Caenorhabditis elegans: one gene and its partners. The protein of the gene in region 1 purifies or fractionates together with the protein of each later gene. This does not show direct contact. Each region holds a gene or a part of one and is shown in the gene's direction. Other genes may lie near its edges.

Region 1 (6,820 bases):
TTGAGATTTTAATGGGCGTTTTACCATGTTTTACCCTTTCAAAACATGGAAGTATGCAAATTTGAGTTTTTCCTGATTTTTCTTGGAAAAAAATCAGTTTTTCCTTAAAAAAAACATAAAAACTGCCGTTCGGCAAATCCGGCAAAGTGCCGGTTCGCCGGAAACTTTGATTTTCGGCGAATTGCCTATTGGCCGGAAATTTTAGATTCCGGCAATGTGCCGGTTTGTCGATTTGCTGGAAATTTCCGATTCCGGCAAAATGCCGGTTTGCCGGAAATTTTGATTTTCGGCAAATTGCCGGTTTCCAATTTGTCGGAAATTTTCAATTCCGATAAGTTGCCGGTTTGTCGATTTGCTGGAAATTCCCGATTCCGGCAAATTGCCGGTTTGCCATTTTGCCGGAAATTTTCATTTTTGGGAATTTGCCGGATTGTCGATTGGCCGGAAATTCGAAATTCCGGCAAATTGCCGGCTTACCGGAAATTTTAATTTTCGGCAATTTTCCGATTTGCCGGAAAAAAATCATGTAAACTGTTAGACTAATTTCAACAAAAAAAAATAAATCATAACAATTATGCCAGATTTAACTGAAACCATTCAAAACAACCATTCAATTTTCTTGTGGCAAGTGTGCTCTAATGATAATCTAGGTGTTAAATATGTTATTTCCATATCTAAATAACATGCTTAGTAACCTATGACTATTAGTAGTTCACATTTAGTCACGTATAAGGGGAACCTCTGGCCAAATTTTTATTTTCAACTCAAAAACCTGTGATTTTTTCCAGATCCGACTTCCAAGATGACCTTCTCGAGTACCTGAGCATGTACCGTAACCAACTGGACACATGGAAACAGCTTCTCCAAAAAGTTGATTTTTCTCAAATCTCCGACCGTCTCATCTTCTCAACGCCCGGTTATCACACCGATCCGCCCACGCAACGTCCGGGACACCCACGCCTTTTCCGTATTCTTTCGGAAAAGTTTCCATTTGATGCGAGTTACGAGCACACGGAACGATGCACATTTGTGGCTCAATGCAGCTCAATTGGCTCACTAGGATCTGCTCCAATCAACTGGTTTCGCGGGCAATTTCTGCAGAGCCTCGAAGGAGCAAATCCGTCGCCGAAGCAAAAGCCCGCGAAAATGTATTTAGTGTTTCCGAGTGTTGAGGATGTTCGGACGAGTTGTCAGGGTTATGCGGGTGGATGTTCTGTGCCGTATCGCAATAGTGTGCATGGTAGGGGGATTTTTCTGCTGGGAAAATGAAGAATTCTGGAGAAATTAGTTGAAAAATGGTTTTTTTTTTCATCGGAAATGCTATTTTTAACTAATTTTACAACTAACAATGGGTCGATATTTTGTTAGTCTAAAAAAATCAAATTTAGAAACATAATTTTAATTTTAAAAAACTTGGTGGCAAATGTGTTCTAGTGATAATCTAAGTGTTAATTATGTTATTTCCTTATCTAAATAACATACTTAACACCTGCGACTATCAGTAGTTCACATTTAGTCACGCGTAGGGGGAACCTCTGCCCAAATTTTCATTTTTCCCCCTAAAACTTCAAATTTTTCGCAAAAATTCAAAATTTTCAGCTCGTCAAAAATGGCTGCAAGGCAACATGTGCAAATGGCGCTCCAATGCGAAACGAAGGACGAACGCAGTGCCCCACTGCAAGACCTATGTGAAATATGACAAGAAAGTGGCGATTTGGCAATTGCTGACCAGTGCCAATTTATCGAAAGCCGCGTGGGGAGAAGTGTCGTTCAATAAATCGGTATTGCGATTTTTTGCACATTTCGGAATGAAAAATTCAGAAAAAGCTTCAAAATTCATGAAAATTAGCCCGATTTAACCATAAATCGTGATTTTCTCATTAGAGCGCGTTTGCAACGCGCCTGAAATTTAAATTTTCATTTAAAAAATTTTGAGAATTTACGTTTTGCCATAGAAATTCGACGATATTATAGATTTTCAAACAATTTTGAGGGAATTGCGAAATTTTTAATTAGAAAATCTGATTTTCTCATCAAATTTTGTAATTTTTAGGCCCAAAAATTCCAAAATCCTCTATTTTTGCAGAAAAACGTAGAGCAACTAATGATCCGCTCATGGGAAATGGGTGTTCTTATCACTGATCCAAGCCGTTTCAATATTCCATTCGACTACCCACTGGTACCGTATTCGGCCACCGATGAGCCATTTGTGACCGACAAAAAACACGAGAAGCCCGACATTTTGGGATGTATCTGGACACCGCCTTAACCCTGATTTTGGGCTCATTTTCTGTGAAAAATTGCTTGTTTTTTTGAATTGATAATCTCATTTTCCTGTGAATTTCATTAATTTCTAACGCTTTACAATAAAATCTCGCTTTTTTCTAATTTTTGTTCAATTCTTTCCGGTTTAAAAGGTCAAAAATCCCCTTTTTCCTATTATTATACTCAAATTTTAAATTCGCGGCGAGCGAGCTGCAACCGCGCTACATTGAGAACACCACGAAATTTAGGCGCACTTACATCATAAAAATTGGGAATTTTCTCAATGGAGCGCACTTGTAACGCGCAAATTTTCAAATTAAAAATTCTTATTGGCGTGCAATCGCGCTCCACTGACATTGTCACGAAATTTATTGATTTTCGATAATTTTCGCAATTTTTTCGGTAGAGCGTACTTGTAACTTTTGATCTAAACAAAATTTGAAAGCTTTCTTCAAAAAATCACGAAAATTTTTGAATTTCTCAATGGAGCGCACTTTCAACGTGTTTTTTTTTCAGATTTTTCAAATTCCCGCCGCCCTGAATAATGTCAGTTCCCCCGGATTTCCGCCTATCCTACGAATCGGTCGTCCTTACCGCCGATGACGTCACTATTTTGGAGCACACGGGCTGCTGGTTCAACGATAAACTTCTCACGTTTTGCGCAGAATTTTTAGAGCAACACAATTCGGCGGCGGCGGAAATTCAAATTTTCACGCCCCCGCAAACCGAAATGATACGGCATTCGACGTGTGACGAGGAAGTTGACATGTATTTCGGATGTCTAGACGTGAACTCGAAGGATTTGGTACGGAAAATCACGAAATTCAAAAGAATTATCATTGGGGCGCACTTGCAGTGCCGCTAAATTTAAAAATTTCGGGTGAAAATCGTGAAAATTCCATTATTTTTTTTTGTTTTTCGATGTAAAATGTGACATTTCGAAAAAAAATTGCTAAATTTAACCCAATTGTCTTGCAGAAATCCCGAAATTTCAATTTTTCTGTGAAATTCTCAATAGAGCGCGTTTTCTACATGCGGTCAGAGCGGAATTTTTAAATTTCAACGTAAAAATTGAAAATTTGAGCCCAAATTGCAAAAAAACATACAATTTGACTATATTTCGCAATTTTCTCATTAGAGCGCACATTCTACACGCGAAATTCGAATTTTTGAATGCTGCAATCGCGCCCCAATGATAACAATCGTTTTTTTTTGCAGATCGCCTTCATCGTAAACGATAATCAAGATGTGACACGGGTCAATGGTGGCAGTCACTGGTCCCTATTGATTTTCGACCGAAAAATCGATAAATTCCGTCACTTCGACAGCGCGCGCGGCCATAACTTGAAAATTGCCGAAAATTTGATGCAAAAATCGCGAAAACTCGTCCGACAACGCCAAAGCCAGCGGAATTTGGAGCCGGAGCTATGTCTTCAGCAGAAAAATGCATCCGATTGTGGACTCCACGTGGCACAGTACCTGGCGGTGCTCGCCGAGCAAAAATCGGCGGACGCGATTGGAAAATTGGAGAAAATCGATAAAACACGCGGTTTTTGGCGGGATTTGATTGTTAATTTTGAAGCGAAATAAATGTTTTTTATTGATTTTGATTTTTTTTTCCGATGGGTTTGAAGGTTTTTGTGACCTTTTTCTAATATTTTTCATTTACCGAAAAATCGATAATTCAGTTTTTGAAAAAATTGATTTTTCGAAAACAATCATTGTTCATGGTGCGTCCATAGTCTGCGGAAAACGGGAATTTCCCGCGTGCGGAAGCGTCCATAGTCTGCGGAAAAACCGGAGTTCCTCGCTTTTTTTTCCTCAAAATTCAAAAAAGTAGGCGTGGCCAACCAATCAGCTGTTGTTTCTTGTTTTCCCATTGCTCAGCTTAAAATTTTACAGCCTCTAATTGGTTGAACACGCCCACTATTTTGAAATTGACCAATAACAAAGCGAGAAACTCCTTGTTTTTTTCCGCAGACTATGGACGCTTCCGCACGCGGGAATTTCCCGTTTTCCGCAGACTATGGACGCATCATCAGAAAATTTCCACGAAATTTCGAAAAAAAATCGGTGATTTTTCAGAAAATTTCGGAAAAAATCGATTTTTCAAAAATTTCCGGGAAAATTATCGATTTTTTCCGAAAATTTCTTTAAAGCATCGATTTTCAAAGAAAAATTCAATTTTTATGTTCCAGCCAATTTATCGATTTTTTCATTGAAATCGGATATTTACCGTATCGATTTTTCTGAAAATTTCGGCATTTTTGAAAATTATCGATTTTCACCAAAAAAAAATCGATTTCCCCGACATTTTCGGCCCGATTATCGATTTTCCGCGAAATTTTCCGGATTTTTCAGATGCTCACACCTGTATTCTGGATCACTCAAGACGACGACGCGCTGCTCATCCGTATTCGTGCTCCGCACGGAAATATCGCCGAGCTGGACTATGATCACGGCGATTATATGTTCGTGTTCACGTGTCCGCCTTATTTTTTGAGGTAAAAACGGTTTTTTTTACTGAAAAATTCAAATTCCCCCCGCTGATCGCATGCTGTGCAGCAAACGCGCCCTACTGAGAAAAGTACCGATTTTCGTGATTTCACAGCCAAAAATTCAAATCATCGCGCCGATCGCATGCTGCATGCATGCTCTATTGAGAAATTCTCCAAATTTCGCGAATTTCCAGCCTGCAAACGCGCTCCACTGACAAAAATGTGTGTGTTTTTTTGCAGATTACACTTTAAACAAATGGTCGAGGAGTACGGTAGCGGAAATGGAAGCGTCGAGTGGAAATCCGACGAAGGTACGGCACGACGCAAACGCGCTCCGTTGAGAAATACGCAAAAAATGCCGTAAAATCCTAATTTCTCAATGGAGTGCATTTGCATCGGCGCGAAATTCGAATTTTCAGGCGAATTTCACATAAAAGTCCCGAAAATGCACAAAAAAGAGCATTTCTCGAATTTGGACATGATTACGGAGCTGCTAACGCCTAGTACAACACACCACCAACCACACGGAAATCAACTTGTCGAGGAAATGGACGATTCTGAAGACGATGATGAAGGTGATGGCTCGGAATTTCTAGTGGAACAGCAGCCAGCAGCAGAGCCCGAAGAGCCGAAAAGTGATGGAAAAATCGAAAAATTCGGCTATGGTTTCGGTTGGAGCAAGTTTGGAGTTATTGAGAGGCTCAGAGATGAAATCGGCAAAATTGTGGATATTTTGGAGCCCGAAAATGTGGAAATTGAGAAAAGAGCCGACAAATTGATGGAATTCGATTGGGAAAACTTTGATGAAGGCAGATATTTGTAAGAAATCGAATTTCCCGCCAAAAATCACTCAGAAATTGCGCTCCATTGAGTAAATGCGTGAAAAAATAAAATTTTCCGACATTTTTGTGTCAGTAGAGCACAGTTGCAACGCAAAATTGTTCATTTTTTAAATTTGAAATCTCGAAAACTCGCAAATTTCTCAATAGCGCGCGCTTGCAACATCCGAACGGCGCGAAATTTGAATTTTTGGCCATAAAATAACGAAAATCGGCAAATTTCTCAATAGGGCGCGCTTGCAACATTTAGTCAGCGCTAAATTTGAATTTTTGGCTATAAAATAACAAAAACTAACTAATTTCTCAATAGGGCACGCTTGCAACATCTGAACGGCGCGAAATTTGAGTTTTTGGCCATAAAATAACGAAAATCGGCAAATTTCTCAATAGGGCGCGCTTGCAACATTTAGTCAGCGCTAAATTTGAATTTTTGGCTATAAAATAACAAAAACTAACTAATTTCTCAATAGGGCACGCTTGCAACATCTGAACGGCGCGAAATTTGAATTTTTGGCCATAAAATAACGAAAATCGGCAAATTTCTCAATAGGGCGCGCTTGCAACATTTAGTCAGCGCTAAATTTGAATTTTTGGCTATAAAATAACAAAAACTAACTAATTTCTCAATAGGGCACGCTTGCAACATCTGAACGGCGCGAAATTTGAATTTTTGGCCATAAAATAACGAAAATCGGCAAATTTCTCAATAGGGCGCGCTTGCAACATTTAGTCAGCGCTAAATTTGAATTTTTGGCTATAAAATAACAAAAACTAACTAATTTCTCAATAGGGCACGCTTGCAACATCTGAACGGCGCGAAATTTGAATTTTTGGCCATAAAATAACGAAAATCGGCAAATTTCTTAATAGGGCGCGCTTGCAACATTTAGTCAGCGCTAAATTTGAATTTTTGGCTAAAAAATAACAAAAACTAACTAATTTCTCAATAGGGCACGCTTGCAACATCTGAACGGCGCGAAATTTAAATTTTTGGTCATAAAATAACGAAAACTAACTAATTTCTCAATAGGGCGCGCTTGCAACATCTGAACGGCGCGAAATTTAAATTTTTGGTCATAAAATAACGAAAACTAACTAATTTCTCAATAGGGCGCGCTTGCAACATTTAGTCAGCGCTAAATTTGAATTTTTGGCTATAAAATAACAAAAACTAACTAATTTCTCAATAGGGCACGCTTGCAACATCTGAACGGCGCG
Region 2 (11,171 bases), on another chromosome or scaffold:
TATCTCTGAAAAACAATTTAAATGGAGGAAAAACATTGAGAAACAAGATAATCCACGTCAATAGTCAATGAAATTGAGCGCGTAAATCGACATGTGATCGTGGCGAGACCCGAGGTGGCTGGCGGCCGCCGGCCTAGGTTTTCGTGTAGATTTACGAGCCGATTTGTTTTCGCAATTTTTAACAATCGGCATTTTAATTAAGCTTAATAACTACATAAATGTAACTAGTATTTATTTGTATTATTTTCAGATAAAATGGGAAAAAAGCAACATCAGAAAGATAAACTCTATCTGACCACTTCTGAATGGAAATCGATTGGAGGACATAAAGATGGTTTTTATTTAAACACGAGTTATAAATAAAAACAAGATTTAATTTCATATTTCAGATACTGGAACAAGACTCCAAAGAGCACAGTTCAAAAGGTTACCCATCAACCATTGCTCGCTGTCACTTCTACCGTTTGAAGACCCAGTTTGCGCAAGATCAGGAGAAATTTTCGATTTAACGTAAATTTCTGTTTATTTTTTTTACTTTTTATTAAAAAATTTTCAGTGCTATCGTTCCTTACTTGAAGAAGCATGGCAAAAACCCGTGTACAGGAAAACCGTTGGTTGCCAAGGATCTAATCCACTTGAAATTCGATAAAGGAGAAGATGGAAAGTTCCGATGCCCAGTTACATTCAGAACATTCACGGACCACAGTCATATTCTGGCCATCGCTACTTCCGGAAACGTCTATTCTCATGAAGCCGTGCAAGAATTGAATTTAAAAAGAAATCATCTCAAGGATCTTCTAACCGATGTTCCGTTCACAAGAGCTGATATAATTGATCTTCAAGACCCAAATCATTTGGAAAAATTCAATATGGAGCAGTTTCTACACGTGAAGCTTGATTTAAAGACGTCAGAAGAGATTAAAAAAGAAAAAGATGCAATGAAAGATCCAAAATTCTACATTCGACGAATGAATAATGCTTGCAAATCAGTTCTTGATCAATTGGATAAGGAATATGTCCCAAAGAAGAGCTCCACAGAAACTGATGAAACTGCCGATGAGATCAATGCAGCACATTATAGTCAAGGAAAAGTCGCAGCTGGATTCACATCCACTGTAATGGCTCCAGTTACAAGCAATAAAGCAGCTGTTTTGGATAATGATACAGTTCGGTACAGCCGAGTTAAGAAAAATGCTTTTGTGCGGCTTGTTACAAATTTTGGGCCATTGAATCTGGAATTATTCGCGCCGAAAGTTCCGAAGGCCTGTGAAAACTTCATCACACATTGTTCGAATGGATATTATAATAACACCAAATTTCATCGGTTAATTAAAAACTTTATGGTAAATTTATTATAAAAATAGTTAAAGTTATAACAAAAAATAATTAAAAATTTCAGCTGCAAGGAGGCGACCCAACTGGTACAGGACATGGTGGAGAATCAATTTGGGATAAGCCATTCTCAGATGAATTCATCTCCGGTTTCTCCCATGATGCTCGAGGTGTGCTCTCGATGGCTAATAAGGGCTCTAACACCAACGGATCACAATTCTTCATTACATTCCGGCCGTGCAAGTATTTGGACAGAAAGCACACAATTTTTGGGAGACTTGTTGGAGGACAGGATACACTAACGACGATTGAAAAGTTGGAAACTGAAGAGGGAACTGATGTTCCGATGGTTTCAGTTGTTATTATGAGAGCTGAAGTATTTGTGGATCCATTTGAAGAAGCTGAGAAAGAAGTTCAAGCTGAGAGAGCAGAGATTTTGAAGAAAAGTTTCTTAATTCTATTACTAATTTTAAAACTAATGATATCTATTTTCAGCTTCTAAGGACGCAGCTTCATTAGCAAATAAAAAAGCTAAAGAAACTGCAACAAAACCAGAAGCAGTTGGAACTGGAGTCGGCAAGTACATGAAGTCGGCCGCAGCTGTGAATAAACGACAAGGAAAAATGGAAGATGTACCCTTGGAGGCCGCAAAGAAAACTAAATTTGCAAGAGCAGGCCTTGGAGATTTCTCAAAGTGGTGATGAAGACCCTCTCTTTTTTTTTAAATTTAAGGAATAAAATACTTTCATCGAAAATATAATTGAAATGAAAAGTAATCTTAAAGAGGATAATTTACATTGCAAAATACAAAACAGTCGAACGAGCACCTAGAACGAAAATGGTCCAGGAAAAGCTCAAGCTCTTCTCGGAAGGAACATCAAGGCATTTTGGTAATAAATTGTGGAAAAGCCATAGCACATACACTTTGGAGCGAGGAGAAATTGTGGGAAAAGAGATTTTAATAATTCTAGAAAAAAAGTTTACACTCGAGAAAAGGCAATGAAAAAAGGTTTTAAAAGAAGAAACAAGCTGGTATTATGGTAGATAAATATACAAAACTCGCAAATAAAGCATTAAAATGAGAGATTTTGAGCTGCAAATGTAGATAGATCACTCAGTTTCCGCGGTTAGCCATGGCGTTGTTCAACTCGCGAACGATCTCATCTTGCTTCTCGAGCTCACTCTGCTTCTCTGTTGAACGGAGATCCGACATCACCTGGAAAATATTTTTTTCGAAAATTGTACTTTTTAAAAATGAAACTTTTTTCATATAATAAATTTGCATTTTGCTTACCTTCTTCGTCTTTCCAAAGTATATCTCATTGATCGTCAGACGCATTTTCGACTCCTGATCCTCAATCATTCGTCCCATATTAGCCAAGTGTGTGTTCTGATCGTTGATTGGTGCATCCATCTCATGCTATAATATTTCTTTTTAAATATATTCACAACTCGAAACCAAAACCTGTCTTGTAAGGGAGCCACCGAGGTTCATCACACCGCTGGAGCTTTTGTTTGTCTGCAGCCACAGCATGATAGTGGAGGTGAGCTTGTAGTGAGCCTGGCGTGCCTGGAAAATTATAAATTAAAAAAAAAAACTCTTCAACAGTTTTTGAACCAACTCTTTCCGTGATCTCAATAACGTGAATAGAATCCCAACATCCTGTTATATTTTTGGCTCCGTCTCCCTCTTTCTTGATGAGCACAATTCCGGCGAAACCTCCATTATCCAAGTCCCAGAAGTAAACTGATGAGACGCCTCCCTCGAAGTATCTGGAAATTATTATTATTTATGAGCAAATATATGATTTTTCTGTCAACTTACAAATCACGGTATGACTCAAAAGCGGCATTTGCCTCGATTTCCATTTTTCTGCGCTTTTCCGATGGCAATTGTCCATCCTCGAGTGGTGGATCATAGGTATTACTCCATGGTGATCTGAATTATCAGAAAAAATCGATAGATTTCAAATAAAATGACTCATACCTGTAGCTATCGCCATCTCGATTGTAGTCACAAAGCAAATACTGTTTGCCGGTCTCACGGTCCGCGGCGATTTTCAGCGGTTGATCGATAGTGCCTAAAACCATCAAGCGAATTTTTTTAAATTAGTTAAAAAGGAAACATACTGAGAAGATCATCAACAAGATGAGGGCACAGATCGATGAGGTCCGTCAAATTCTTGTCGCAGTGTTGTGGAGGAAGTCTTCGCATCAAGTCGAGGGCACAATCGAGCTGTTGTTCTCCCTGGTAAATATTTATTATAAATTGTTTTTAAAATATTTATTAAAATACCATTTTTGATAGTTTCGAGCCGGATGTGGGTGTGCTCCCTGAAACAATAAACTTTTATGTCAGATTTTAAGTCGTTACAACCTATTAAAAACATAAAAAGACTCTAAACGATTGGGTAATGATTTTTTAGTTCACAAATAAGATTAAATTTCGCAAAAATATATTTTAAAAGCCATTAGAAAGCAGGAAAGTTGCGAAACGGAGCGACCACTTCATTGATTTTACACTCCGTTTCTCTCACTCTCTCGTCCCTCCACCGTACCCATAGTCACTCTCGTCGGCAAATCGCGGCGAGACCCGCGAGCTTTTGGCGTTTCGCCAGAGTTCTTCAAATTTTTGTTTTTTTCTTCGAGCTTTTAAATTTAAGTTTTTTCCGTCAATTTTTATGTTAATAAACCGAAAAAATTAATTTTAAATTAATTGACATGAAATTTTCATCGCAAGTTTATCCGTGTTCTGTACATTCTCATCGCTTCATCTCCGAGAAAACACCGAATCCACTAAATTTTGTTATTTCAGTAATTGCAGCCAAAACGAGTCAAAATTGGAGCGCGTCAGAGTAAACGTCACTGCCGCAACCTTCCATCTGAAGTGAGTATTTAAATGTGAAAATTTTGAAAAACTGGGTGAAAATTCGCGCACATTTCTGTAAATTGGCTCCCGATTTGGTTTTCAACGTTAAAAAACGAAAAAAAGCATTTTCAACGTTTAAACGTGCGTTTTAAGGAGGTTTTCATTATAAATTGCCAAAAAATTCCACTTTCCATTGACTTCAAATCATTATAACCTAGCTTCAGCGTGCAAAAAGAACAAAGGCCGTCTCGAAAGTCAGTGAGCATACTATGAAAAGATCGAGTTCAATGTTGGACATCAACGAGGACAGTCAACATTCCACGGTCAGAACTTGTACTTTTCTTTTGATCTTGCCGCTTTGCTAATGGATTTCTTTTTTGAATTTTCGTTGAATTTAATTATTTTATCGCTGCAAAGGGCTTTTACAATTTTCCCTGAAATCGTCACTATAAAAGAAAAGAAATAATTGCAATTTTATTGCATTCTCCGCAACTACATTCTGTTTTTTCCGACTCCAAATAGTTCAAAGTTCTCTAGAATCACAATATCTTCCTCTGAAGACAAAAGATCAGTTGTCACTAAAGCCACATGCCGACTTTTCTGTTCAAGGGGGGTTCCACCATATGTTTCGGCGCTCAAATTACATGTTTTTTCGCGAAAAAAAGCTAATTTTCCTGTAACCTGAAGGGTTTTCTTTTTAAATAAATAAAAATGTTCACGTTAATCCAGTGATATATCGAAACTAGGTGACCTAATTGACGTGGAGTTCAGATTATACCGGCTTTTCTAGAACTTTCTATCTGATTTTCAGGATTACTGCGCCGTTTCTTGATAGTTTTCGTCTAAAAACCGAGTATATTTTAATATTTGTTGGCAGTTTTTGTCTTATTTATCACAATTTTCAGTGAGAATTCCTTGGTTTTTCTCATGGGATAAGCGTTTTTCACTGGAAAATATATTTTCTTGGTAGAAAATTCTCCTCGACGAAATCGTAGTTATATTCTCCCAGCCGAACACTAAAATGCTGGAAAACTAGGAAACTAGGGTCTAGTTGAAAAATTTTGCAATTTTTCCAAGTACAGCAGCACTTTTTTAAAATATTATCTTTAATATGATTTTCCACCATTTCTCTCTCTCTCTCTCCTGACTTTTATCTTTTTCGTCATTATTTCTTTTTCTCTGTTACAGCACTGGTTCTGCTCTCTCCTTTCCTCTTGTCGTCATTCAAAAGGTTCCCTTTGGTTTTGTTTCTCTCTTTTTTTTTCAATCTCTACGTCTCACCACTCTCTCGCTCTCTCTCACATTGTTTGATTTTGATTTCAGTTTCTGTGCTGAGAGAACTTTTCAACTATCTCTTCTTTGTTTTTTGCTGTCATCTTCTTCCTACTCTTGAAGCCGCCCGATGCTCGGTTTTGAGCCACTCAAAGCATTGAGGAATACTGTTTTTATGAAATTATCACCTTTTATTGCATATTTTGGTTGATTTAGGCACATTTTAAGTCGGTAGGCGTCCAATTTTGATGCCTATCTACTTAAAATGTGCCTAAATCAATGAATTAATTAGAGATAAATGACCAAAAGATGCAATTCAGGATAATAATTTAGGAGAAGTTGGAGTAATTTTAGATTTTAGCAATGTTTGGCTACTTTTTTCGGACTTTTCAGGCCAGTTTTAGTCAAAAAGCTGCTCTTTCCAACTTATTTTGCACTCTATGCCCTGCGTCTCTCACTATCTCCTAACAGTTCAGCCATTTTCACTCTCATTTCATCTGCCTTGGCAGCTGCATGTCAGCAGGCTCCACGTTTAACAAGCTCTCAAATTTTGCTCTAAAAAGCCGAAAATACATACCATACAGAATTATAATATTTCAGAACAAAGCTCCACCACCGAAGAAGGCGCCAGAAGATCGATTTGATAGTGCCAATATGAACGGTAAGTAGATAATTTCAATGAAAATGTGATTTTAGAATAAAATAACTTTTTTTTTGTATTAGATTTTTGTATTCACTCACATTTTCATAATTAAGACAAAAACTAATATGTTGAAAAGCTTCAGGAAGTCACGTCACCCTTGTCGAGAATCTTCCAGTTGAGAAGGTTTCAAGTGGCGAACGCATTGCCATCCTCGACTTTGGAGCACAATATGGAAAAGTTATTGATCGACGTGTTCGCGAGCTTCTCGTACAATCAGAGATGTTTCCACTCAACACGACAGCTCGTACACTCATCGAGCTTGGCGGATTCAAGGGAATCATCATTTCTGGTGGTCCCAACTCGGTATTCGAACCAGAAGCCCCGTCAATCGATCCAGAAATCTTCACTTGTGGATTGCCAGTTCTTGGAATTTGTTACGGATTTCAGTTGATGAATAAGCTCAATGGAGGAACTGTAACAAGAGAGCATATCAGAGAAGACGGAGCATGTGAAATTCAAGTCGATACGAGCGTTCATTTGTTCAATGGACTTCACAAAACAGAAACTGTCTTGCTAACTCACGGAGACAGTGTATCAGAGGCTACGGTGGCTCCAGACTTCAAAGTTATGGCCAAAAGTGGCCATCATGTTGCTGGTGAGTTTATTGAAAATTTTATTCACATTTTTTTAAAACAAAAAAAAACAAAATTAAATAATAATTTTCTGATTTTAATATTTACCAATGCTTCTAACCCCTCATCAAATATTCGTACTTTCATCTCAAAACCTTTTTGCAGGAATTTGTAACGAGAACCGCAAGCTGTACGGTGTCCAGTTTCATCCAGAAGTAGATCTCACTACCAACGGCACGAAAATGTTCGAGAATTTCCTTTTCAAAGTTGTCGGATGCTGTGGAAATTTCACTATTCAAAACCGTGAGCAATCGTGTATTTCGGAGATCAATAGCATTGTCGGTGACAAGAAGGTACTCGTAATGGTGTCTGGAGGTGTCGACTCGGCTGTTTGTGCTGCGTTGCTCCGTCGTGCTCTTGGACCAAATCGGGTCACAGCAATTCATATTGACAATGGATTCATGCGTCATGAGGAGAGTGATGCTGTTGAGAAGAGTCTTGCGGCGCTTGATCTTCCGATTCACAGTGAGTTTAAAAAAATTTTTTTAATTCAAAAAAAAAAATTAATTTCAGGGTATAACTTCGGCACAACGTTCCGTTCCAGTACAGAACACTGCAAGGATGGAGAAGTTGCGTTGGATGAGTGTGATGATCCGGAGATGAAGAGAAAAATCATTGGAAATACATTTATTCGCGTAAAAGATGTGATTATGAAGGACTTGAATATCAATCATGATGAATATTTCCTTGCACAAGGAACTCTCCGTCCAGATTTAATTGAAAGTGCAAGTGCTCTTGCTTCGGGACACGCGGACACTATCAAAACTCATCACAATGACACATTTTTGGTGCGAGAACTGAGAAAACTCGGAAAAGTTGTGGAGCCGCTGAAAGATTTCCACAAAGATGAAGTCAGAGAGCTTGGAAAAGATCTTGGGTTGCCTGAAAGTATTGTGCAGAGACATCCATTCCCAGGACCTGGTCTTGCGATTCGCATTCTTTGTGCATCAGATAAGAGGCCGGAGTTGATGTTCAACGGTCCGATGTATAATGGAGATGTGCAAGGAAGAATTATCGATGTTACTGAGCAGTTTTTAAATTCTGCAATTAATCCAAGTCAAGGAATTTATGAACACCTGCAGTTCGAGCAGGCACGGAACAATGTGAGTTGTCACTATTGAAAACTATATCCAGAGTCTATTATTTCTGTTTTTCAGGTTCTACTATCACTGTCTGAAAGAGATCGCCAACTCGCCGAGCAACAAACCTTCCAAATCAGTGCTCACATTCTTCCAATCAAAACAGTCGGTGTTCAAGGAGATGCCAGATCCTATTCGTATGCAGTTGCACTGTCCACCGAGCAACGACCAATTCCATGGAAACTCCTGTTCGCGTATGCTTCAGTCATCCCGAAGCTGTTCCACGGAGTCAATCGAGTCGTCTACGCATTTGGATCAAAAATCGAGTTTTCGATCGAGGACCTGACGAGAACATATCTTGTACCACACATTGTCACTAAACTTCAAATGGCGGATCACATCGCCAATAATATTCTATTCGGACGTGTCGCTGCTTCGGATGGTACGCAGCTGCCAAATGTTGGGCACAAAATTCAACAGATGCCAGTCGTCCTTCTGCCTGTTGATTTTGATCGTGATAGAGATATGATTGGATCATACAGGCACTCGATTGTTCTTCGTCCGTTTGTCACATCGGACTTTATGACTGGTCAGGCTGCGATTCCAGGAGTTCACTTACCGGAAGAGGTTAGTTTTCGACAAACATTTGTTTTTTTTTCTAATCAATTTATATTTCAGACTCTTATTGAAATGGACAAGGCCATCAGAACCAATGTTCTTGGTATCTCTCGTGTTCTTCTGGACATGACCTGTAAGCCACCGGGCACCACCGAATGGGAATAAGCTTTTTCGGACTAAATCGTCATCACTGGCCTTTCTCTTATCATTTTATGGACTGATCTTCATCCGATGCGAAATAATAATTTTCTCAGGTGTCTTTATCATTTCCGCTTCCCTCCATTGTTCTCTTCCCAGTTTTACAGTTCAATTCTTTCTCTATTAGTTTTTATATCATTTTCATCTCTTAAAAGAAAGGTTTTTCAGGTAATTGTTAAATAGATTATTGTTGTATCATGTTGATTTTGATTCTTCGTTTTTTCTCATCCCGGGTGCACTTTTCCAACGTCCTCTGTTCCCTCCCCAATTTTTTTGCTCCGATTTTATGTGTTTTAAAGCGTTAAACGTCAGTTCCCAGTGCCGAGTTTTCAAAAGGTGTCCATCGGTTTTTTTTTTAAATTTTTTATCTAGTGCTCAACGATACCGATGAACATTTCCGAGCTTGGCGTGAATCCCGATAGATTTGATTGATATTCACGGTGCTGCTTTTCTTCTAAATATAAATGGTTCTTGTTGATTTGTTTTTTTGTTTGGAGAAACGACACAATATCATTAGGGCAAAGAAAATTGTCATAATAAGAGCAACAATCTTTGTATCTGGACCTTGTAAAAATATTTTAATTCTGAACTTATGCTTTTACAAGTAAAGTCAAATCTTTTCCAGCAATTTATCAATTTTTCGCGAAAAATAACTTTAAAAAATTACAGTAATCTCTCTTCTTCAATTAAAGGCGCATACCTTTAATTTGAAAATTGTATGAATCGTGCCGAGACCTTTGACCACACGTTGTGCACGATCCTTTAAATTTTAAATTTTTGCACAGGTTTCTGACCGATTTTCGTTCTGTTTTCGGCTTCTTTGTATTTTTTTATTGAAATTTTTCATTTATTTAGGTGAAATAGGTAAATACCAATAAATTTCCATTTTACTTTCTCCCGCCAAACTGAAATTATCAGCGAAAATTCAATTTTTTCCTCTCTTGTCTCTAAGGACATCTGAAGCTAGTCTTCCTTCTGCCAGCATTAGCACCGCGCCCTTCTCTTTCTCTAATCCTCTCCGAATTTCCACTCTCTCTCCGTCTATTCCTCGCCCCCAGCAGCCATTTTCATCATTTTCAGCTCCCAAGGTGACCCTTCCTTGTTGTTTTTTTTTTCGACTGACGCGGTTTATATTTCTGAATTTCTTCTGTCATCTCTCTTCGTCTCACTCGTTTTTTTTTGATTTCACTTTGGAAATGTTGATCGAAATGAGAGAGAGAGAAAGCGTGTTGGAAGGAGAGAGAGAGTGTGTATAGGAGACAAAGAGAGTCCCAGAACCCATCGGTGGTTCCCCCAACTATCCGTCTCGATCAATTACTCCCAGAGAGAGAGACCATGTTTCAAAATGTTTTTGCAACACTTTTTTGTTGAGAAGTGCACATTTTATCACAGCACAGGTTCTCAGTTATCACTTCTTTAGACTAAATTAATTTTTGTAAATTAGTTCCGTGTAAAAAAAATTAAAGAAATTTCGTAGCAAATCGGCTAATTCGAAAAAAAAGTAAATTAAAGAATTATTTTTATTATTTTTAAAAAACCCCTCCAATTCCACATGGTGACTATAATTTTATAATTTTCCTTCTTCTCTACTATAAAATAATTAATAACTAGAAACAAATAGCCTGGCTCAAAAAATGTTGCCTTCAAGTTGTGATCTTTGCATTTTCGAACGGATGTCAGTCGTCTCGGTAATAAACAAGAGACGCAGACATTGGACACACACGCGCCCGTTACAATTGACAAGATGAATTTCATAAGGAACCTTATTCCCCCTTAGTTTTTTTACTCCCGAGACACATTTTCATCAATCTGATTTGCTCTCGAGTACTTTTGATCTATAGTCAAGATATTGTTTGGCGCCGTCTCTCACGAACCAGCCAAACTGGTTTTCGCAGAATTTGAAACGAGAGCGCCGATTGCATTGATGCTGCTGCTGAAAAACCAGAGGAAGGTCATTTGAAACATTTGAAGCGACGGTGTTCACCGTTCCGTTTGCCGGCCTTTACCCAGAGAAATTATCGAAAATTGCCTCGTGCTGTTTCTTGAGTCATCTAATTCTCTTCTCGTATAATAGAATATTCTCGAAGTAAATTAAAAATTCTATTTAATTAACGTTTTAATTTTATCGCTAACCGATGATGCTAAATTTGATAAATTTTGTCAGACATAGTTTGTAGCTTTTCGCGGGAACATATTGTATGTTGTGCCCACTTCCACGTGGTAGCCACTTTTGGATAGGTTTGATGACGTTTCTATAGATAACCCTTGTCGCTTATCTCCACATAAAAGTGTACTTTCCTCCCAAATAGGGCAGTCTCGTAGATTTGTTTGACCTGCAGCTTTGGACAACGCTTTTTGATTGGTCGAATTCATTTTTCTCTGAAAAATAGTATTTAAAATTTGTTTTTCTGCAAAATAACGCTATTTCCCAGTTTGGCTAGGAAATACCACAAATAAATAAGTAGAGA
Region 3 (6,852 bases), on another chromosome or scaffold:
CGAAAAAGTAGTTTTGAGTTTAAAATAGCTCCCTCCACATAAGAAAGATACGGGTCGCATCCTCGGAGCCGGCGGCGAAGAGAAGATGGGGAAGCGGTGTAAAGTGAAAAGTGAACACTTGGAAGAAGCCGTGCATACAACATGTTGATGATGCATCATCATTTTGTATGAAATTTCAAACGTTTTTTTTTTATATTGAAACCCAATTTGGAAAAAAAATGTATTGAAGCTGAACGGAATTCGAAAAATGTGCAAAAAACGACGTTGAAAAACTTTTGTAAGTTTTGTTTAAAATTGTTTGTAAATTTTTCTAGGCAATTTGAATAAACCGCAGGCTTAGGCACCAGAAAAGAGACATATTTACCCAAGAACACATGATTTTGGTTTTTTGCAATCCTTGATAGAAACTTAAACAAATATATTGTTTGAAATGGGAACAAGCAGTTTCAGAAAATAACAGAAAATTGGCAGAAGGCAGGCAGGCAGGCCGGCAGGCAGGCAGGCGGAACGTAGGAATGTAAAAAATGTATCGGGAGTTATTATCACAAATCTTACGGTTTTTCGGTATTTTTAGAAATCCGAAAAATTGGAAAGTTTTGTATTTGGTTGTACAATTTTCAGGGGTTTCTCCTTACGGTTTTTGTAAAAAATCAATGCTGCACCCTTGGCAGGTGAATCTTTCAATTAATTAAAGCGAGATGTTGAGGAGACAGTAGGCAGGTAGTAGGCAGGCACGTGAAACCCTATTGAAAATAGTCGTTTGGTTTCGGATCACCTCTATAATGGAAATCCGACTTTGTGGCTTCAAAAAGACGCGAGAGAATCGAATTTCTAAAAAGTGATGTTGATTGGAATAAATTAATATTGAGAACCGGAAGATTTGATTTATCCTCATCACGTCCAAGCAGCTAAAGAATTGTGAGAATTTCTTGAGAAACAAACAGAGAGGATTGCGGGGGCAGTAGAAGATGAAGGAAGAGGGCAGGTTGTCTTCCATTCTCTTCTGTTGGTCACTCCTCGTTGTAACACAAGAAGAAGAAGCTGGTGAGATGGAGAGGAAAGGGAATAAAATCCAGGATGGATTATCTGCTGGACACTGGGACAAAGTTTTAGATAATTAGAAATGTAATAGAGAAATTTAGATATTTTTTCTAAAAACAGACTGGAAGTACTTTCCGTTTCATTCTATTGTGCACCAGTTAAATTGCCTGAAAAGATTCCAATTTTAACGGAACATTTTGTCAGCTCAAGATTATTTAGGATAATATTTTTGTTTTAAGAAAAACTTGTCAATTGAAGACATTTTTTCAACTTTTTTAAAATATTTTTGTAATTAATTGTTCATCGGTATCGTTCAAATGAACCGAAATATAACGTTTCGAAGTTTTAATTTTTAAATTCTCATATCTCACATAAAAATTTTTGATTGCGACAATTTTGTAGTGAACAGGATATATAGTAATTCTACAAGAGATTGTTTGATGAAATAAAGGGACACATTGAAATTATGATTGAATGAAATGTGATACCCGTCTCCACCCACAACGTACTGGTAAACACTGCAAAGAATGTAATACTGAGGAGTGAAGAACTAAGAAAATTGAGAAGAGAAAGAAGAAGCAGGCAAAGAAGACGACTTTGTAGACTCCGGAGGTTCCGTTTCACACTCCCATTGTGATGATGATGATGATGATTCGGAGCGGCGGAACTAATGTCCGTATTGTTGTTACTGGAATGTCCGGGGCAAAAACTGAGATAAACACTAGATATCCAATACACTTTTTTCTTTTGAAAGTCGAATGATTTTCAGTTGAATTGAAGGATTTTTTCCTTTTTCCATCTTTTGAGTTTGAAGGGGTTGCCTAGATTGAAGACGTAGTCTTTTCGAAAAAAAAGTTTATAAACAAAATTATGCTTACTTTCTGAAATTATTCTCCACCAATCAGTTGGAAAAAATGCTTCGAAAATTTTTCGTGGGCACAACTGTTATAGACCTGAAGATTTCCGTTTTTTTTGCAAAAGAATACGGTATTTGGTCTCGAGACGACCAAAAATTGTATTTATAAAGGAGGTCGCAAAAATGAGTGTGCGCATTCAAAAAGTACAGTAGTTTTTACTTATGCGAAATGTGGAAGAAAATGTGAAAAAAACGAGAGATTCCGAAGAATTTCAAAACTACAGCATTATTTCAATGCGCACTTCATTGGTGGTACAGAATCGTTTTAAAACATTGGGTCGTGTCGAGACCTCGGTTTTTTGAAAGCCAATAATTTGCCAATAAAGTAAAGTGACAAAAGAAAAGCGGGTTAGTTGAAACGTAAAAAGAGCAAAAATAGTGTCCTTTTCGATTTCATTTTCCGGAAAGAAGAGCAACGAGTACGACAGCTGACGTGCAGTGTGAGCAAATGAAATGAGTCACTGAGATTCACACTTAAAACAATGCTAATTATATTTTAAAGAACATTGGTCAGTTGGTAAGGTATACTGTATTACCAAGAAATCGTGCATTACAGGTAAAAGAGTTTTTACGGATATACAATGTTATACATTTAACAGGCACAAAATAACTTTGACTAGGAAAAAAGAGGAAAAAGGATAGAGAAAAACATGTTCAGTTCAATTCGAATCTATTTCAATATCCGCCCTCCACATTCTTTCCGCATGAGAAGGCACATTTATGTTGACAAAATACAATTATTATCTGTGGCTTGAAGAAATACAAATCTTTGAATGAAAACCAACACAAATTGGAAAATATTTTGATTTTTTTGTTTGTTTAAGATAAAGAAGAAACTATTTGCAATGCCAATGTCCTAAAACCCTTGTCGCACGTGGTGTCAGGCTGTTCTCATTGCGGTTTGATCTACGAAAAATGCGGGAATATTTTTCCAGAAAAATTGTGACGTCAGCACGCTCTTAACCATGCGAAACGAGAAGAGATGTATGCGTCTCTTTTCCCGCATTTTTCGAAGATCAAAACGAAATGGGACTTTTTGACTCCACGTGTTGTCGTTGTGTCTGTGTCTGATATCTCTCGTAGCCATCTTTTTTTCCCGTTGCGGGTCAGATTGTTCTTCGGATGAGGATTGTCTTTAGAGAATAACCTTGACATATCCCCTCAACTTGACACGTTTTTATGTTTTTTGCGCTTTCTCGACCGTTTAAAAAATGTGTAGAGTTACTGTAGACTTAAAGGCACATGCACAAAATTTTCATCTACAACTTGTTGAAATGCGCTCTACCGCAAACATTTTTGTTTCTTTTTTGTGAATTAATTTCATCATTCCGCTCCGGCTGTGAGGGCTGCGATTCCAGTATACTTCGTACTTTTTACTTTGAAACGTTTTCTTTTCTTCAAATATGCGGAAATGCTCCTTTCACTGATAAACTGATAACAATCTCCTGATAATATAAATTAATTCGTCATTTTGCAGATTTTCTCACCTGAAAAATGGTTGGCCACTCCGAGTCTTCTACTGACGCTGTAATTGAACCGGTATGTTACATATTTATTAATAAAAAAGATACATAATTTAATTTGAAAATAGATTTCAGACAAGCGAAGAGCTGCTCGCGGAGCAAGTTCGAGTTTTCAACAAAATGAAAGGTTCCACAAATTTCAATCGAGTGGCTGAAGATGTCAGTTTTTTTTTGATAATAGTTTAAGATTAGGAATTTTTTTTCATTCAAAATATATTAATTCAAAATATAATTTCAGGTTTATCCGGTGGAGGTCACGAAGAGCAAGCTGGTATGTGAAATGGTGGTGCAGCATCAACACTTGAACTCAAAAGTGCGTTTAGTCCTAAAATTTCATGAAAACTTGTTTAAAATACCAGTAAAATTAAATTTAAAGAAAAATGAATATTCCGAAAAATTATCGCAATTTTTCAGGGAACACTTCACGGCGGTCAAACTGCTACCCTGACAGATGTTATCACCGCTCGGGCAGTTGGAGTCACAGTAAAAGATAAAGGAATGGCTTCTGTTGAACTGGCTGTTAGGTAAACTTTGCTCTAACAATAGTATGATTTTAAAAATCAGATTGTAAAGTCTGATGTTTTTTCGCGTAAATTGAAAATGACATCATCTATCAAAAAAAAAAAAGTGGAGCCATCACACCATTTCAAAACTATTCAAAATATTTCAATTGTTTCTTTGAATTTCTCACAAAAATTGAATTAGGTATATTTAAGAAACAAAAGAAGTGGTTTGTTTTCTAAAAAAATCTTTTTTCAGCTACCTTCTACCAGTCAAAGTTGGAGACGTTCTGGAAATCACTGCACACGTATTGAAAGTCGGACGAACAATGGCATTTACCGATTGTGAATTCCGGCGGAAATCGGATGGAAAAATGTCGGCAAAGGGAAAACATACTCTAGCATTCCTTCCAAATCAGCCTGGAATTTCTGTGGAAAATGGCACGCAGTTTTAATTATGTTTGTTCTTTCTTTTTGCATAATAATTGTTTCTTTTGGGTTCGATTTGTGATATAAAAAATATTTTATTGAAACTTTTTTGGAGAATGTGAGAAGCCACCGAAAACGCAAATATCGAGAAAAAATGGGGGAGAACAATAATAAAATACAATGTAGAGAATTTGGGGGGCCGAGAATAAAAAAGGAATATCACATGCTTGGTGCAAGGAAAAGCGGACATGGAATGGAGAAAATAATGAAAGAAGTTTAAAAGTTTAAAAATTGCACATTGGTTTTGCTCAAGAGTTTCTTATTTGAAGGAACGAGAGATGGGACAGAGAGAAAATATTCACCGTTTAATTTTTTTGGATGGAAATCAATAAATACAATAATAAATTATATTTAGAAATGCGTCTTAAATAATGTAGATTTCGAATTATTATGCATACGTATACACGCTCTACGAAACCTCATCAATAGAGCGAGATTGCCGAGTATGCGGGCAAGAAATATTCAAATTTGTCTTAAAGCAATTAATTTCAGGAATTTGTGAATGTTTTGAAACAACGAGCATGAATGGCATTGAGAAATAGAAAGTTCTGGGAAAAGAAGAGACTAGGAGAGTTGGGTTGGAAGAAGCTGCTAAAAATGAATAAAACGACTCGTAGTAGGAGAAAATACTGTATTATCTGACAGAAAAGTATGTAAAAACTGAATATCTAATTAAAAAGTTTCGAAACAATCTGACGATTGAAACGGAGTAAAACTTGCTTCTCAAACTGATCGGTAGAGTCTAAATTTGTAAGAATCAAATTTGTGTTTAAAGAGCTCGAATCCGGTGAAAAGCTTAAAACGCGTTCAGCGGTAAGAGTGAAGATTGGAATGGATAAAAGTTCAGTGGCAAGATCCGAGAGCTCCGAGCATCGTGATGAGCAAGATTTCCAATAAGAGAGTGGAGCTTGCATTGGATTGCCGAATGTTCGAAGCATGAACATGCTTTCCACAGAAGTCTGAAATTTTGATTTTTGATTTGTTTTTCATAGACATAAAAATAGAAAATTCCAGATTTCAGCTAGCACAAACTACTTTCATTTTCATTTTCAACCACCCTCGTATGATCTTCTAGATTATCCCACTCTTTTAGCGGATTTTAGGTAGAGAGCAATTATCGCATAGTGCTAGGATAACATGACAGTTTAAAATTTAATCTTCTAGATATCGTATTGTCACGTAAAGAGTTGGAAAGAAGTTTATTTAAAATTAAATTTATTTGTTTTAAGTTTTGAAACAACTTGTACTTTTCTAGAAACTCAGTCGACTGATAATTCTTCTTCATACTAGTCAATTACCGTAGTATTGCACCTCATTACTTTATTTCGAAAGATTATATCTCGGTTCATTTTGAAGATATCAATAAATTATTAACTAAAATACAATAGAAAAATAACTAAATAATAATTATTTTGTTAGCTGACAATTTTGGAATAGAACACGCAACAACTGAGATATAAGCTGTCAAAGTTAAACAACGGGGTGCAATTTGGAAAAATATGATATCTATGAAATTAGTGAAAAGTAAAACTTACGGTGCTAGAAATCTCATCAAAATACTGATTCACAATATTTTCCTTTGATTCAGAACTGTTTCCAGTTATCGACTGAAATAAATCTCCATAAATTGCCAATGCTGTCTCACATCCTCCATCAGATCCTCCATCATTTTTCCTCATAACATTTGCCAATAGTGAATCCACACCCATTGCCAATTTCTTATCACTTTGAGCTTTTCTCATCTTCTTGGTTCGCCTCGAAATTTCAGTTTCAATGAGAGATTTCGCAGTTGTCATTTGATCAGAAGTTAGTGTAACAGCCAATTGAGGATTCAGAGCAGTGGCTTGGATGTACGTGGAATCAAAGTTCTCGTGTTCAGGATTCATGATTGGTGCGACAGTTTGTTTCAAAGAAGTTAGAAGATCAGATCCGATGTCTCCCAAGTGATAGATATCCTGCAAAATGTATTAAAATGATTTTATTACTAGTTTCAAACAAAACCTTTTCCAAAACATTTTGAATTTGTACAATTGTTGGAATAACAGTATCAACGGTTGTCATATCTGTTGAATATGTCATAAATGGTTTGAAGATATTCATAAGATGATGGATTCCAGTCACTTTATTCCATTCACGTTCAGAAATCAAAGTGATTCCTTCCATATTCATTTGATAAATATCCCGATGAGCTACCAAATGCTCAACAATCACATGGAATGGTTCAGTGAGTGGCACCTCAAACTTTGCCTTTAGCATTTGACTTGCAAGTTGAATAGCTGCTGGAACTGTCAGGTAGGACACAAGCATCGCGTATACATTTTTCTTCAAAACTTCAACTGTTGGAGATGTTTCAAGCCAAGATTTAAAACAATTAGCAAGACGA
Region 4 (7,757 bases), on another chromosome or scaffold:
CCCACATTGTTATCAGATGTGGTGTCCCATTCGTCGTACCCAATATGATAACTGTGAAAAGAGGATTATTTATTTGTTTTGTGACAACTAACACACCCAATTGTTGGAATTGACTCAATCGTTTCCCTCTGGTAAAAGGTTTTTGTGAATGATCGGCACATGAATGAAAAGAACATATCAGCAGTTGATGACTCGTCCAAGTGCATTTGAGTGAAACTTCCAGAATCTTAAAATACTTTCCTTTTGAATGTGTTTAAAATAAATTGCATTAAAGTTCAATAAATTCAATTCAATTCAATGCGAGATAATGGTCAACTCACCACTTCCACGAATACTTCTAGCCTTTGGAGTAGTCCACCATTCCCCAGGAAGTTCTGTAATTCCAGCCCATCGCTGAACATTTCCTATTTGGTTTATATCTTTCTTTCCCGTTTCAATCCAATATTCCTCATCTCTTGAGTTGTTATACTGAAGATATATTCTCAATTCGAAATATAGTTCCCGATCAGAAATTAGCTTTCAAAAGAATCTACAAACCCCTTGAAAATATCCAAATTTCGGCATAGCTGGAATCGGAATTGGAACGATACTTCCACCATCTCCTTTGAATATTCCTGATAAAACTGTCACGAACTAAAAATTAGATTTACAGCTACTTTTTTTAAGTTAAAAAGTTACCCCTGAATGAGCAGCGGACAGTAAAGCATCCTCGTAACCGTCAAACAGAACTTCACGAACTTTATGAGAACTGCAAACTTATTTTAAAATAAGTTAAATTCGGTGAAAAACTTACACAAATGGATATTCACCAAGAATTGTTAAAGCCACTGCAATAATTGTTCTTCCCGTTTTTGTGATTTGGAATTGTGGATCTAACATTGAAGCAACAGCCCCCTGAAAACAGACATGAAATCAAGTTGAGGCGCCACGTGCACTCGCCCGCTAATCTATCAAAACTCACCAATCCTGGTGGATTCGGAAAAACAATATTTCTGTCCCAGTCACAATCTTCACACGAATAATCTTTTGATAAAATATACTTTTTGTAATTTTGATAAAACATTTGTGATTTATCATCACTGAATTCCAGATATTTTTTCTGCTCACTTTCCCTTCAAATTCGGAATTTAATTAACATATCTATGAGGAAAATTCAACTTACATTACAGAAAATGGACCAATTTCTACCAAATTTGGTGCAGCAGAATAGTATTTCACTTCGTCTGGATTTGTAACATTAAAAAAGTAGAATTTCATTATATTATCCACTTGAGGACTTGTATATTGAAATGCAGAATATCCTAGACTGGTATCAGAATTTTCAGTTAGTTGTAGGTTCTGATATCATGCAAGTTTAGGAATTAACTTCACTTTTCACGGGAATACCTTTATGACCAGAGTACTGTAAATTGAAGAGAATGCCGCCCAAGTAACAATTCCAAACACAATAAACACAATTGCAATAACAACTAAGAATACATCTAGTTTATTTATCCGTATCCGAAAACCCATTTTCTGAAAAAAAAAAAGAAACATATAAACCAATTGAAATTATCAAAAATCGATTTAAAACAGAGTCAGAAAGCATGTAAATATGCTGTCTATATGGTTTACGTGGCTTATCAGACGAATTCTTTATTATCAGCAGCTAACTATATTGTCGTACATTGAAATGCCCTGGTTATCAATGGCAGAAAACACGTTAGATGCAGCTTCAGGTGAATGCTCAAAGAGTTTGCACTGATCGTATGGGTCGAACTATACTCCAGAGATTCGTGGAGATTTATTTTTTTTTTTAATGATTCATAAAAATTGATGGTTAAGAACCTATCGTAGCTACAATAGAAATTCTACACGGTCGAGGCGAAGAGTGGGCGTCAGGGGGAGTTTGTCAGTATAAACTTTAGATGTAGTAAAAATGTTTAAATGGTTAAACAAAACAGTTTGAAATTTGAAAATTGTTCTAACTATCAATCAAAGTTTTGAGTTGATTTCCCAATTTTACTGAACTATTAAAAGTGTACAAAATCTTCAGATGTTTTGAAAAACTGTTCACACCATTGAAATAATTTCGGACATTTCCTACTTGCTGTAATTCATTGTTATTTGTTTTAAAAAAATTAAAATTATAAGCTGTTACCTCTCTAAATTTGAAAACTTAGTTTTAAAATTATCAACTAGCTCTAGCGGTTCTATCGTTCATATTTTTAAAAGCGTCTTCAGGGCGAAAGGAATCGATTTTTTAGAACGTCAACGGCCAATGGGACCAAATAAAGAATTAATCTCAAATTACTTAAACATATTCAAATCATCATTTTATTCTCTAGAAAATCAATCAGGTGATATCATTACAGAGATCAATCATTTTTCAACACTATGTGCACGATCCTTCCACAAATCATTGTACTGGCGACCAGTGTCAACTGCAAAAAAAAATAGTTTTTTATTACAATGACTCAAAAATCGTACTCATGGCATCCGATACTGTCTCTCCAAGCTCACGAATCGATGAATCGACATCTCCGGATGAAGATTTTCTAGCTCTTTTCGAAAAAGAAGATCCCTCATCAGTGAAACGAACACTTTTCGAGTTAACGGAAGAAATAGATTCACGACGCAAAGGACGTTTTCGTGGGCTATTGATACCTTGAAATGAGTAAATGAGTTAAAGGTGATTCAAGATAAAACTACCTGGAGTATGCTTCTTCATCGGTGTTGGTGGTGGAACAGGTTTGAATCTTCCACGAAGATCTGGATGAGCATTCATCAGAGAGAGAGCAACAAATGGAATTCCGTCAACCAAAAGCTCAAAAGCTTCAAATTCTGGATCTTGTGCGTATTCAGCAACAAATCCACGAACTGAAATATGATCAATTATGTGAACTTTCAAAACAATCTCAGGGCTCACCTTGATTACGAGCAGCTGGATTCTTGATAATTGCAAACTTTTGAACTGGAGGAATATGCTCCTTCTTTGGTAAAGATTTTCTCGAAAGAGATCTTCTTTTTTTCATCGGAGATTTCTTCAGAATGCTTTTACGACTGGAACCTGGTGATTTGTTGGATCTATTGCGTCGACTCTCAATTTCAGCTTGCAAAAGTCTTCTTCTAGCACTTTGCGAAATCTTGTTACGGTTCCCAGAAGTGTTTCCAATTTTCGATCTTTTGCTTGAAATAGATCTTTCAGATCCTGTTCCCGAGAATCCAGACGACGAGCTACGAGGAAGCTTGCTTTTAATTCTTGGTCTTGATTTACTGGAACTAGTAGTTGAAAGGAACGAATCAAGACGAGAACGACGGCTTGATGATGGAGTAGTTCCAGTTGACACGAATGTAGAATCAGATTCTCCATCATAAGAACTACCAACTGAAGAGAGAAGTGATGAGAGAGTATCTGCCTGTAATATTTATAATTTTCAAAGTTGTTAGAAAGTTTCATGCCCGGACAGAAAAAACTACTTACCTCATTGTGGCTATTGTTCGAGTTAGACTTGGCCATCGATGGTTGTTGTCTATTGAATCGAAATATTCGAGCTTGCAAAAAGTTTTAGTTTCGAGTACTGATTTTCTTTTGTTTTTCGATTCGTTTTCCTCATCGATATTCCAAAAAGATAATTTCAAAGGCCAAGGTCACGAAAATATTATTTCTAAATAACTTTTTTTTCAAGTATTTGATTTTTATTCCAATTCGAGAACTCTGAAAGATTTTCCAGGCCTGAAAACTTTAGTAGCGCGCCGGACCTATAGCCGGATTAAAAACACGCGCCTTTAAATATATCAGGGTACGGTAGCCGGGAGTTTCTAATTTTGCGCACTTTACTCACCAGCAACTCATTTTTTCGAGGATTTTCGCCTATCGTAAGCATTATATTTGTTAGGTTTTAATAGTTTCAAATAATTAATTTTCTGTGTATTTCAGTTCTATTCGCAAAATGATTTGGGAGATCCCGATTATCGGCGATTTCATCACCAAACCGTTCAAAGCGGCGAAGCTCTACGAATTTTACGATCGACTTCACCTTTTCACAGTTTATCTTCTCGGATTCTTTGTTCTACTCACTGGTGCTAAACAACATTTCGGAAATCCAATCGATTGCATGCTCCCGAAGCAACATGATGGTTTCAATAGCGTTAATTTTCATAAATTAATCTCAATTTTCAGATCTGAAATCGTGGCGCGACTACATTCACAATTTCTGTCTTTTCTATGGAACTTTCCGATACGACGTGAGCAATGGAACGTCTGAATTTGGAAGTTACACTGAAGATGCATCTGTCAACTATTATCAATGGGTTCCTTTCTTCTTTGCATTTCAAGTATGCTGCTTTCTTCTTCCTTTCTGGTGCTGGGCATACATGCAAAAGCTTATTTGTACGAGTTATTCTTCTGTAGAGTAATATAAATTTTTAATCTTTCAGACATTGACATGGCTTTCATTGTGGATTACTCTGGAAAAATCAACAGCGAGAAAACGTTTGAAAAGACGAAGGAAAAAGTGGATCGAATTGTGAATTATATGCATGATCACTTCAAGTTCCGTCGTGCCCACAAAATGGGATATCTATCGTGGATCACATTTAACTCAGCTTTTCCCAGTGTCTTGTACAGTCTCACAAAGTTATTTTTCATAACTAATGTGATTATTCAAGTGAACTTGGTTTGCAAATTCTTGGACGTTGATTCGTGGACTTGGGGTTTTGATGTGAGTTGAGCAAGTTTTTGATATAAATTGAATGACACTGATAATAAAAGTATGTCTTTTTTCTATTTTCAGCTTCTCGGCAAATTCATTCACCCAACTCCACGTGCTCCCGAGTTCTCCTCGTTTTCCGACAAACAAAGATTCGCGGCAATTCTCACAGACGGCAGTTACAATCGTTTCCAGTACTTCCCAATTCTTGTGGGATGTGAATATCAGTTGCAAGAATCAGTTAGCAACTTTGTGAATCATAAAGCTCAATGCATTATTCCGATGAATGTGATTAACGAGAAAATTTTCATTGGGCTTTACTTTTGGCTTCTTGTGGTACGTTTTTTCTCCTATTGGCCACGATTTTCAAGAATATTTTCAGCTCACCGCGCTCTCGGTAATTGGAACTGTTAAGTGGATTCTTCGTATCAAAAGTAAGAAGCTCAACGAGGTGATGATCTACAAATTGATCAAAAAATCATTGGAACGAGAGCCATTCGACAGTAATATTCATGATCACCGCTACAACTTTGTTCACAAGTACCTGTGTGCCGACGGAATTCTTTTAATTTATTTCATGATGGATACGAATGGATTTTTGAAAACTGAAGAAGTCATCGGTGCTCTTTTCAAGAAATATTGCTCAGACGCTGGCCTTGAACCGGTTGGTTTTTGATAAATATTGTACTTATTCTAATATCCCACTAGTTGCAGACCGCTCCAACTCTCACTTCAAGTCCAAGAGATTTGGCTTATTCAGGTTAGTTTTTCAAATGTCTCCCTTATACATATATTTATTCCAGAAACCAATTACGGATTCGCTGCACCGCAGAAGATTTAAGTCTTTTCAACAGTACACCATAATTTCACAAAGTATTCTGTCTAACATGTTTATCTATTGTTTGCTCCCTCTTCTTTCTCAGGTAAAGTTATTATTATAACTGTTTTATTCATTCATTTTATTATTATCATATACAAAAAATGAACCTGCAACCTGATTTTGAAAAGTTTTTCTGTTTTGGTGAATAATGCACAAAAAGAAGCATAATTAGACGTACATAAGAAAAAGTTTGCTGACCGAGAATACTGATTAAATTATATTTTGGGTGCCTATAATGTGATGAAAAATTATGCAAAGAAAACCAAATAAGAAATGGGAGGATGAAGGCACAGAGAAGGAGCTTGATAATTATGGCCAGAGAAAAGTGAAATCACAGTTTTTGGTTATCACAAAGAATATTAGAAGAATAAGAAGTTTGGGGTCAAAAGTCCATCAAGATTGCTGGATTTGAAGATTTTTCTGATTTCAGCTTCTTTGAGAGCGAGAATTTCGATTCTTCTGAAAAAGAAACGATAATTTTTTTAATCTTTCAAAAATAAAAAAAACAGTTATAGCTTTTTGGGTAGATTGCAAAGTAAAGTATTTTTCAAAACTTACTGGTTGGATGGAAATGTCGATGTCCTACATAATGAATGAAATCGACTAGGCTCTGCCGGTCCTTTGCAGTAACCTCGAATAGTTTAACTTTTTCTCGTGCAGCCCAACTATGTGCAAAAGCACTGTCAACTGTCGCCGGTCGATCTCGCATATTGGCAAGGACTACGATTGGAACTTCTTTCTTATCTTTTCCAAATTGTCTGTCTATCCATTTTTTCAGCAAATCAACTCTGTTAAACGATTCGTAATCAGCAGATGAATACACAAGAACAAATGCGTCTGCAGCTTGTACATATGCCTTCTTCAGTTCAATCGGTCCGTAATTTGAAACTCCTGCCGTATCGTGCAATATAAGAATCTCTCGAGCTTTGTCCGGTTCTTCCAAAAGAACTTGATATGTGTCTTCGATCGTTGGTTCATATGGCTGAAAATTAGAAATTTAGAAACCGAAATAATTATTTTTAATCTTCGAACCTTATTCGTAACATCCTCAACACATGCGACTTGCCGCAGAATAGCTGTCTTTCCGACTTTTTTTCCTCCAACTACAACCACCCGCATTGCTCTCCCCATTCGCCGGCTTCTAGCCGGTTTGATTGAATCGCTTCGGAAGGTTCGAACACCTTTTTCTTCCGATCGTTCCACAAATAATGGACGCTCCAAGTCAGGATCAGCGACTGTACGGTAACGGCCTTGATGATTCAGATAATCTTTTTCTGAAAGTTTCTTGTTAATCATTTAATGAATTTTTGGTAGATTGATGCCTATTATGTTTTGAATTTTAAAAATCTGTAAAGTATGGCAGAAACATAGATTAATTCATTTTTCAGGAAATATTTTTTTAAAAAAGCACCATTTTCTTCATCAATACTCATATCTCTTCTCCAATTCACATTGGTTTCCAAGTCGAGAGCAGCCATTGATTGTGATATCGGAGCAGCCGCTTTCAGATATTTTTTGGGTTTGTTTTTGAATTTCATAGAAACCGTGTTTCTTAGTTTAGAGTCGGACATGACTTGATCCAAAAACAATAAGAATAGCTAGGGAAAAGAATGATAATATGGTAAGAAAAATGCTTGAAACTAAGTGGTGCATAGAGGGAGGAGTGCACATGCCATAAAAAAGTGATAAGAGTTAAGCACAGAGGACGCTGTTTGATTTAGACGATGACGTGGCACTGTTTAGGTCATAAAGTGGCAAATGGGGAAAATTAAGAGACTTTCTCATTTTTTTTTGGATAGAAAAATCTGTCTTTTTTCAGTTAGTGGTTCTCACTGTAATGAAGTTTTCTCTTAATTTTTAGATTTTATCTTGCACTTTTGTCTTTTTAGTTTTTGAAATAAAACTGGGCGAAATTCTAATAACCTACCAACACAAAGTGAAGTTTTTCTATCTGCTTTGGCGGCGTCAAAGAAGGTCGCGGCTAACGAGAATCGACGATTTGTGGCCTGCAAATTTAATTAAATTTCAACGATTCCAAAATTGAAATACTATAATTTTTGTCTTTATATTGAAAATCACCTTTTTGTGCAAATTTCGATGCATTTTAGACAATCGCGGAGGGGATTGATTTTACAAGAAATAAGGAAAATGTTTCTTTTTTTTCCAAAAACTTGATTCCCATCCTC

What was found.
Region 2: the proteins of ulp-3 (region 1) and gmps-1 purify together in Caenorhabditis elegans (affinity purification with mass spectrometry, with the first as the bait; one large-scale study listed by BioGRID). This does not show direct contact.
Region 3: the proteins of ulp-3 (region 1) and F42H10.6 purify together in Caenorhabditis elegans (affinity purification with mass spectrometry, with the first as the bait; one large-scale study listed by BioGRID). This does not show direct contact.
Region 4: the proteins of ulp-3 (region 1) and inx-14 purify together in Caenorhabditis elegans (affinity purification with mass spectrometry, with the first as the bait; one large-scale study listed by BioGRID). This does not show direct contact.

Annotation. Positions count from the first base shown.
Region 1 is NC_003282.8:1,960,855-1,967,674, forward strand, and holds ulp-3 (Ubiquitin-like protease family profile domain-containing protein), read left to right. Parts: upstream 1-2,779; 5' UTR 2,780-2,809; coding exon 2,810-3,070; intron 3,071-3,483; coding exon 3,484-3,855; 3' UTR 3,856-3,870; downstream 3,871-6,820. Other genes in the region: tdpo-1 (putative tyrosyl-DNA phosphodiesterase), read left to right, coding at 789-1,240, 1,600-1,781, 2,087-2,269; shq-1 (Protein SHQ1 homolog), read left to right, coding at 4,627-4,769, 5,004-5,074, 5,183-5,582.
Region 2 is NC_003280.10:10,861,691-10,872,861, reverse strand, and holds gmps-1 (putative GMP synthase [glutamine-hydrolyzing]), read left to right. Parts: upstream 1-4,147; 5' UTR 4,148-4,219; intron 4,220-4,419; 5' UTR 4,420-4,470; coding exon 4,471-4,524; intron 4,525-5,689; exon of another isoform or gene 5,690-5,746; intron 5,747-6,073; coding exon 6,074-6,134; intron 6,135-6,252; coding exon 6,253-6,771; intron 6,772-6,913; coding exon 6,914-7,273; intron 7,274-7,321; coding exon 7,322-7,911; intron 7,912-7,965; coding exon 7,966-8,514; intron 8,515-8,565; coding exon 8,566-8,670; 3' UTR 8,671-9,180; downstream 9,181-11,171. Other genes in the region: cyn-4 (Peptidyl-prolyl cis-trans isomerase 4), read left to right, coding at 256-334, 390-510, 557-1,343, 1,400-1,778, 1,828-2,033; cap-2 (F-actin-capping protein subunit beta), read right to left, coding at 2,447-2,548, 2,627-2,752, 2,798-2,902, 2,955-3,105, 3,158-3,271, 3,320-3,413, 3,463-3,580, 3,629-3,631.
Region 3 is NC_003281.10:8,476,040-8,482,891, reverse strand, and holds F42H10.6 (Putative esterase F42H10.6), read left to right. Parts: upstream 1-3,440; 5' UTR 3,441-3,451; coding exon 3,452-3,496; intron 3,497-3,555; coding exon 3,556-3,639; intron 3,640-3,718; coding exon 3,719-3,793; intron 3,794-3,894; coding exon 3,895-4,004; intron 4,005-4,239; coding exon 4,240-4,435; 3' UTR 4,436-4,510; downstream 4,511-6,852. Other genes in the region: mig-39 (Zinc finger BED domain-containing protein 39), read right to left, coding at 5,138-5,428, 6,005-6,424, 6,471-6,852.
Region 4 is NC_003279.8:7,348,249-7,356,005, reverse strand, and holds inx-14 (Innexin-14), read left to right. Parts: upstream 1-3,823; 5' UTR 3,824-3,858; intron 3,859-3,919; 5' UTR 3,920-3,932; coding exon 3,933-4,119; intron 4,120-4,162; coding exon 4,163-4,372; intron 4,373-4,419; coding exon 4,420-4,703; intron 4,704-4,775; coding exon 4,776-5,027; intron 5,028-5,073; coding exon 5,074-5,355; intron 5,356-5,399; coding exon 5,400-5,451; intron 5,452-5,494; coding exon 5,495-5,532; 3' UTR 5,533-5,694; downstream 5,695-7,757. Other genes in the region: scav-6 (SCAVenger receptor (CD36 family) related), read right to left, coding at 1-51, 97-226, 321-468, 538-633, 679-748, 794-894, 962-1,112, 1,163-1,338 and 1 more; spsp-1 (uncharacterized protein), read right to left, coding at 2,362-2,423, 2,470-2,646, 2,692-2,859, 2,909-3,398, 3,464-3,499; kbrl-1 (NF-kappa-B inhibitor-interacting Ras-like protein), read right to left, coding at 5,954-6,030, 6,130-6,553, 6,604-6,845, 7,499-7,577. UniProt on the Caenorhabditis elegans protein: Structural component of the gap junctions.